Danio rerio: one gene and its partner. The protein of the gene in region 2 purifies or fractionates together with the protein of the main gene of each other region. This does not show direct contact. Links are inferred from orthologs where the notes say so. Each region holds a gene or a part of one and is shown on either strand. Other genes may lie near its edges. The genes, in order: ift57 and coro1a.

Region 1 (4,585 bases), on a different chromosome or scaffold from region 2:
CTGAGTGTGAGTTCTGCATCATCTTCCTGCACACACTCATCCTCCACCTCCACTGATGGGTACAGCGGCCTGACAGACAGAGAATACAAGCTCTAGATGTGTTTGTATACAGTAAGAACAGACAGTTAGACAAATTCGTGGTTCTAAAAGATTTCTGTGCCCCTAAACCACCATAGAAAATGATCTCAACCTGTTGTAAGCTCATATGTGTGGTTTAAACTTTGTCACTTCATGCAATTTTTTTATTTTTTATTATTATGAGGATGTTTCAAACACAAAGCCTCCAGGAGCCTACATATAAAAGCATTTGTATCCAGAATCAAAAATATAGATTAGATTTGTGTAAAAGCGAATACTATTTAAATAAAATAAAATGTATCAGATGCTTTAGTCAACATAAACTAGTTAAATTTGTATATAGAGCAGATTTGAAGATATCCAAGGAATCATATTAATTTAGCGAAGATGCATTCATGTGGTCAAATGTACATGGCACTATTTGAACAAATCAGATAGCTATGCAGTCAGCAAAAACGCATGAAGTGACCAAGTGTAAACAAGCCCATAGTAGGGGCGGATTTAACCAATAAGCAAGGTAAGTGGCCGCTTAGGGCCCCAATAAATATCTAGAAGTATAGATTATACTTATAAACTATATATAAAACATAATTTCTATCATATTTTGTATAGTGAGATATTTTGTACATAATTAAATATTATTTAATATACAGTAAAATCTTATATTATTTTAATAATGTAATGTTTTGTAATATTAATATTATGAAACAAAATATCCAGCTCCCCTATCATGGAGCAGTCCAGCAGTAAATCTATGATTATATATATATATATATATATATATATATATATATATATATATATATATATATATATATATATATATATATATATATATATATATATATATATATATATATATTTGTTATCGTATGTAAAGGTTGTAAAGATTGCATTAAGATAAACCATAAAAAAAGAAGATTGAGTTACAGAAAATAAATACATTTAAATAAAAAAAAGTAGAAAAGGTGCATCAGGACTTGGGCCCCATGGCTGAAGTTGCCTAGGGTCCCCGATTCGCTAAACCCGCCCCTGCCCATAGTGTGTGCTGTTAAATATATGTGTACCTGTTCCAGGCAAAACCTTTACTCTTTAGTGCCTTTTCTACCAGCTGGTCTAGAACATAACAGACATGCTCTCCAGACCCAGTCTTCAGCTTAGATGGGGGGAAATCAACCTGGCCTCCCTACAAATCACATACAGATGATAATCATAAACCTAAATGCATACACCCATACACATTTGTGAGGGTGTAATCAGTGTTATCGCCTCACCAGGGTTCGAAGTTCAGACAGGATGTTGGAGACTGTGGCGTTGGGGTCGTCATACTCCTGTGGTGTGTCGAACGGTCGCCCGCATAATGTAATCAACCAGGCAGCAATTACACTGAACATATAGAACTGCTCACCGGGATTTGACAACACATGAGGGCTGGAGACAAAATAATGTCTGAAAAATACAGAGTATTAAGGCAAAAGTTGAAATGAAAAATCAGTCATTATTTCCAGTGCTCAGCATGTATAAGTACACCCCTCACAAATCTATCTTTTAAATTTATATTTTGAATAGGAAGCTATACAGTATTATATTTGTGCATATACATTAGATTAGTCAGTACTGAAGCCAAATCTAGAACTTATGTAACTAAATAAAACTAGTACAACCAAATGTATATGTTATAGAAAAATATTAAATACAATTTTTAAAAAGCAAAAACAAGAAAAAGAAAATAAAATTTAGTTGAAATTTTGTAATATTTTGCTTGAATTTAATTGTATTATCTTTCAGTTTATAAATATGTTTGGTGAGCAAAATATTATTTATATAAATATATCTGTTTAATAAATCTGCTTTGTTTAAATGCACCAAAACACATTGCCTATATTCACTGAAGATATATACATTTTCAAAATGTGGTGTACTCACTGAGCACTGTACTCACTCTGATGTTCTTATTTACTTTTTCTGATGTCTACGTTATAACACGCAGTCTCTTTGATATCAACTTCTTCAAACATTGTTCAAAAGTATATTATCCTGACATGTTAGAGACCTTAGTTCCTCTTCAGAATACAACATAAGATATTTTAGATTAAATCTGAGAGCTCTCTCATCTTCCATAGACAGCAATGGTTCTGAGTCATCCAGAAAAATAACAAAAAACATCCTTAAAACAGAAATACGCCTCCAGTGGTTCAATCAGAATTTTATCAATCTGCGAGAGATGCTTTTGTGTGTACAACAAATAAAAATAGCAACGGCTATTTCTGTTCTTATTCTACTATTAAACTTATATTAATTTAAAGGTCTTAAACGTGTGAACACAAAAGAAGATATTATAAAAAATGTTGGAAAGCAACAGCCACTGACTGATAATATTTTTGTCAATATAGTTTCCATCATTCTAGTAAATGTTGACAGAATTTTCATTTTATGATAATATATGATAAGTGGATTTTACTATAAACTGACGGCTAAAAAGTAACTCTATCTACTTTGCAACGTTCATTTTCTTACAGGTTCCATATTATAAAAGTGAATGGGGACCAGAAACTAACTTTACTCGTTTACCAATGTTGTCCAAAATGTTATCTTATATGTCCAACCGAAGAAAAAAACTCATCCAGGTTTGTAAAACCCGATACTAAATTCATGATGAGAGATTTCACTTTAACTGTAATGCTATTTACATCAAATACTTTCTAATCCACATTCCGAGTCTCTCTTACCTGGACAGAGGTTTGATGTTGTGTTTGTCCAGAACGTGCTGCTCATAATCGAGAACCTTCAGTTTATCCAGCAGATCCTCCATCAACACGAACATCTGATAGACAGAGCCCGGACCGCGCTCTTCCTCCTCCGCCATCCCTCTCTCTTTCTCTTTTCACATTTAACAATCTTTACTCGCAAAGGGAAATTAGTTTAAAGCTTTTATTAACACTGCAGGTACGAATACAGACAGATATATACACGGCTATTCTGCAGCAGCGGATTCGGGATGTTGTAGTTACTGTCGTCAGGAATGACGTCACACACAGCGACGGCCATGACAGCAAACAAAGTAAAAGTATCTACTGAATAGTCACAGATAATAAACAGAAAGCTATAAATAATCAATAATCAATGACTATGCATAATTATTGAATAGAAAAAAAGCAGCGAGCCGAAATCTGATTTTGGCTAAGAGTTTTATAATGTTACCGTGTGTAGTCTGACAGTGCTGCCACACGCTGGAGCGGAGAAGAAACGACTCCATATCTAACGTTACTCCAATCGAAAAGATATGTTGCTTTTCTTGCTGGTTCTTTGAAACTGACTCTTTATTAATAACATAATTAATAATAAATGCGTGTGTGTTAACAATAAGAATGGAAAACAAATAATTATTATCATCACCACACTTTCAAAGTACAAACCATGGTTGATTTCTAGTTGCCAGAACTGTTATGTTTAGTCACAGTAAATTACCTCTGTTTATTGTTTTATGTATAGTAAAACCATTGTAAGGGCATAAAATACGTTATGTTACAAAAACCAGAGAGTAATTATTTTGGTTTTTACAAGTTTAAACGGTGATTTTTAAGTATTTTGGTTTTCAACACAACTCAATGTCTGACACATGAAAGTCATTTATAGTCAATGTTATGGTTTAAGGTTATCTGTGCTGATCTAATTATGTTTATTTTTTTTCTTTATGCTATAAATGTGGTTACTTATTATTATATGAAAAATCTTCAGTCTTTTGAGTCTTTTAAGTCGGTTGTGCTCACTAGACAATGAATGATAACTGCTTTGAAAAAGTCAAGGCAGAATTTTCTGCAATACTGTTCCTTCGGTATATGGAGGATTGTTTTATTCAATTTTTATTATTATTATTTTTTTTAAGACAACAGTATCTTTAGCAGAATAGATATCCAAACATGCTGTTCGAAATCGTAAATAAATCAGTGTTTTTGAAACTAATGAAGACAAGAGAAGTCCATTCATTTCATTTATTTAGCCTGACATGTTTACAGTCCCACAATATTTTAAATTGTTCTCAAAATAAAAAATATATTGTATTGAAAGGGGGAAATTTTTTTTTTTTTACTAAGACATTTAAAAAGAATATATTTTAGAGCAGTAATCACAATATTTTTATCCAAGGTTATCATATCAACATAATCTTATACCGGCCCATGCCTAGTGCTCACCAAAGTTGTATTATTTACAGCAAATAAGTAATATTAAAATATTACAATTCATAATACTTTTTCAGGATTCTTTGATGGACTTGAATTTACAAAAGTACTGCATTTACTATAAGGATATTTTATGTCACAATAATAAACCCTTTATTGTCACTTTTTGATTAATGCTCTTGCTCAATATTAAGATAAAACCTAAAAAACCTTTTGAACACTGTTTTATAATTTTACACATTTTCTCCCATATTTATTTTCTGAATGAGAAAAGCTGTTTGAATGATGAATTGTATTTAACACATTATTGTATTCTGTTGTCCCTA
Region 2 (3,834 bases):
TCATTAAAACTTAATTTCTGAGTTGTCAAGTGCATAAGCACTTTATTTAGACAAATTTAAAGGGGATTTTTTCATTATTCTCAAATTTCAGATTTTCAAATATTTGTATGTCATCTAAATACAATCCTATCATATCAAACCAAACATCAATGGAAAGCTTATTTAATAGGTGGTTGTATTTTATAAGAAAAAATTTAAAAATGGACCCTTTCTGTCTGGTTTTGTGGTCTCTGGTCACAAATGTCATGTGACCAAACCATGAAGTCCTTGTCACTCACCATGACACTACAGTCTTCAGAGCCGCTGGCAATGATGTTGTCATTATGTGGGCAAAACTCAATGTCCAGCACGGGTCCAGTATGTCCACAGACAGTGGGTTGGGACATGTCAATACGACCCGTCTAAAACACAAAACAAAGGGTTACAGAGGAAAGCAAAGGAATGTAGAATATGAAAGCTGTATTGCTGACAAACAGAGCAGAAAGAGCACGAGAGATCTCAGACAGATGAGAAGGCTGTGTCAGCTGATCTCAATTTTATAGCTATGCCTTCAATTACGCCTAATAACTACCAACCCGTTTAGAGAGGACAGCACCATGCAGGAGTTTCTGGAGAGCACATTTACTCTTATTGTTAGATCTTAGAGGTCTGTGCAAGTCAATGTAGAGGAATGGTTTATGATTTATTACTCCCACACAGGGGATGCACTAATTTAAAAACTAGAAAATTGACTGAAATCCATGTTAAGCAAATACTGAAAACTCCTTTTATGTTACTTGAAATAATGCTGAAATGTAATCATGAAAAACACTAGAAGAAACTCTCTTTTCTGAATTTTTTACGTTATCAAAATAAAAGGTTAAAACTTAAAAAAGAAATAATGGTCAAAAATGACTGCATATGACTGGTAATATGATTTCATCAGGAGGGAATGCTAGCACCCAAATAAATTCTTCTGACAGTGACCTTTTTAAGATACAAACCTTAAATTGTATCCACTACTTAATTGAATTAATTTCTTTAATTTAATTTCTTTATATATGCACACACACACACACACACACACACATATATATATATATATATATATATATATATATATATATATATATATATATATATATGTATGTATGTATGTATACACACATATATATATATATATATATATATATATATATATATATATATATATATATACATACACAGTGGAAGTCAGAATTATTAGCTCCCCTTTTCATTTTTTTTATTTTTAAATATTTTCCTAATGATGTCTAAATGAGCAAGGAAATGTTCACAGTATGTCTAAATGTCTGATAATATTTTTTCTTCTGGAGAAAGTCTTATTTGTTTTATTTCGGCTAGAATAAAAGCAGTTTTTAATTTTAAATATCCATTTTAAGATCAATGTTATTAGCCCATTTAAGCTACATTTTTGGTGGCAAATAGTTTACTATTAGTTTGTTTGATCATACCAACTTTGCTTTTGCCTTACAGCAATTTTATGTAAAGAATTCTAATGTTGTGTATATGTATCTATTTTATTTCATTTTCTGTAAAGCCTCGCATGGACAGGTGTTGAGAATTAGCAAGTCTGCTTAAACACTTGAACAAATGCATTTGGTTGTCCAGTGTAATTGTGATGTCCATGTCAAACAAACAAATAAATAAATAAATAAATATTACTAAATAAATTATAATAAAAAAACATCAAACGACATTCGAATTCAATGACTATCTAGTGACAAATATTTTAATTACAACACCTTTTTTTTTTCAAAGAGTCAAAATCCTGTCTACATTAACATATAATGAAAACAAAACATTAATTACAGATTAAATTACCGCCTTTATCATTTAAAGGGATTGCTCACCTAAAAATGAAAGTTCTGTCATCAATAACTCATCCTTCACTTGTTCAAAACATGTTTGAAATTCTTACTTCTGTCAAACGCAAAGGAAGATATTCTGAAGAATGTTGGAAAGCAGCAGCCATTGACTTCCATTAGTGTATTTATCTATGAATGTCCATGGCTGCTGGTTTCCATCACTCTTCAGAATATCTTCCTTTGTGTTCAATAGAAGAAAGAAATTCATAAAGGTTTATAACAACTTGAGTGTGAGTTAATGATGATGAAATTTAAATTTTAGGGTAAACTATCCCTTTAATCGAAAAACAAAAAGGAAAAGGATGTGCATTTTCTGCACAATGCTGCCTTTAATGCCACATGTGAACTCTGCAAGTTTGTGTAAAACCAGATGATGGCATTACGAGTCTCAAAAACTAGGCTTTCAAAACTTCCTCAAGCCACCCAAAACGAAATGAAAGGCCTTGACTCGAATTCTCGTGTTCATTGGGAAAACAATGGCAGCCATTGAGTTTAAGACGCACAGCAGATTGAACATGACAGAACTCCCATTCACTCGCCAGCGTAAAACTCACAAGTGCAGAAAGAGCGAACTATGAAAACAGATGAGCAGAGATGATGCACCGAGAAGATGAAACAAAACAATTGATGAAAAGAGGAAGACAGAAAACTTTCCATGCTGCAAATTATTTTGTAGCTATAATGCTTAACGAAGTGCAAACTACACATTCAAATTTAGTTTGATCACGATGAAGAAAGCGGGCACATCAAGATGAAGTTTAAGTGGCAGCTGTCCTTTTCTCACAGTTTTTGTCACTCACTCAATCTGCAAGCTGTCACCACATCCTGTGCAGCGCTGACAGCAACGCACTCCAAATATGGCAAAAACAAGATGCAAGAGAGCATAAAGAGAAGAGATGCTCGATCTGGTGACACGTACATACGAAACCCAACCTTGAACTTCCTTATTTAGACAAAAACTGCATGACACGTCTAGTGTTCAAAATGTAAAGACTATAGCAGAACATTTCCATCAGCTAATCGATTAAAAGTGCAAACAGGCCTAAAACTACTAACCTAAACTTTACTCTTTTAATATTTTAATAAAATACTGTCTTTGTTATTTGACTTTGGCTTTAAAAAGAGGTTAGATAGCTGAAGTTTTATGAGTCTGACTTGCTATCTGGATGCACCTTGCTCAGGGGCAGGACAATGAAGGCTCCTCCACCGCTGGCATCCACAATCATGGACACAAATTTGGGGTTGACGGAGCAGAAGTTGCTGTCCCAGGTCATCTGGGAGATCCTGATGTCATCGTAGCACTGGTCCGCCTTCACCGCCTGGCCAAAGACATGGCGAAACTTACTGGACCTGACCACCTTCCTAGACATGATGACCTGAGGAAAGACAGACAACAGGGATAGATGACCTCCCATCAGCAAACTAATGAAATGCACACACCATTTACTCAAATGTTTAGACATTTTAGGATTTGCTTTGTTCTGTTGTAAATAAAAGTAGCCATTGACGTCCATAGTGTTTCTTACACTGTTAAAGACTTTTGTAAATGACGCAGTATTTCACTCTAATATGAATTGTATTTTCCTGTAGGATTCCCAGTATTGGGTTGCGGCTGGGAGGGCATCCACTGCATAAACCATATGTTAGATAAATTGGTGGTTCATTCTGCTGTGGCGACCCCAGATTAATAAAGGGACTAAGCCGAAAAGAAAATGAATGAATGAATGAATGATTTTACAGTAGGACAGTTATGCAGTATGTTACTGTATTTTAAAGTTGCATTGTGAAAATGACTATATTTTGCAGTTAAGATAAATCTCAACACTGCAAATACATATACTAAATGTTGTTGTAAGTATAAATACTTGATTTTTGCTGTAGTAGATTCTACAGGAAATTGTTAACAGTGTACTATGGATGTTGGAGGATAAAACTTGGAAGCATTCTT

The links.
Region 1: the proteins of coro1a (region 2) and ift57 purify together in Homo sapiens (affinity purification with mass spectrometry; 3 studies listed by BioGRID and IntAct, counting the BioPlex papers as one, with this or other methods). This does not show direct contact. The link is inferred for Danio rerio from reciprocal best matches to the Homo sapiens genes CORO1A and IFT57.

What each region holds. Positions count from the first base shown.
Region 1 is NC_133177.1:45,212,067-45,216,651, reverse strand, and holds the start of ift57 (intraflagellar transport protein 57 homolog), read right to left. Parts: upstream 3,083-4,585; 5' UTR 2,945-3,082; coding exon 2,808-2,944; intron 1,528-2,807; coding exon 1,353-1,527; intron 1,265-1,352; coding exon 1,146-1,264; intron 70-1,145; coding exon 1-69. UniProt on the Homo sapiens protein: Required for the formation of cilia. Plays an indirect role in sonic hedgehog signaling, cilia being required for all activity of the hedgehog pathway.
Region 2 is NC_133178.1:29,722,668-29,726,501, forward strand, and holds part of coro1a (coronin-1A), read right to left. Parts: intron 3,555-3,834; exon of another isoform or gene 3,401-3,554; coding exon of another isoform or gene 3,257-3,400; coding exon 3,059-3,256; intron 402-3,058; coding exon 279-401; intron 1-278. UniProt on the Homo sapiens protein: May be a crucial component of the cytoskeleton of highly motile cells, functioning both in the invagination of large pieces of plasma membrane, as well as in forming protrusions of the plasma membrane involved in cell locomotion.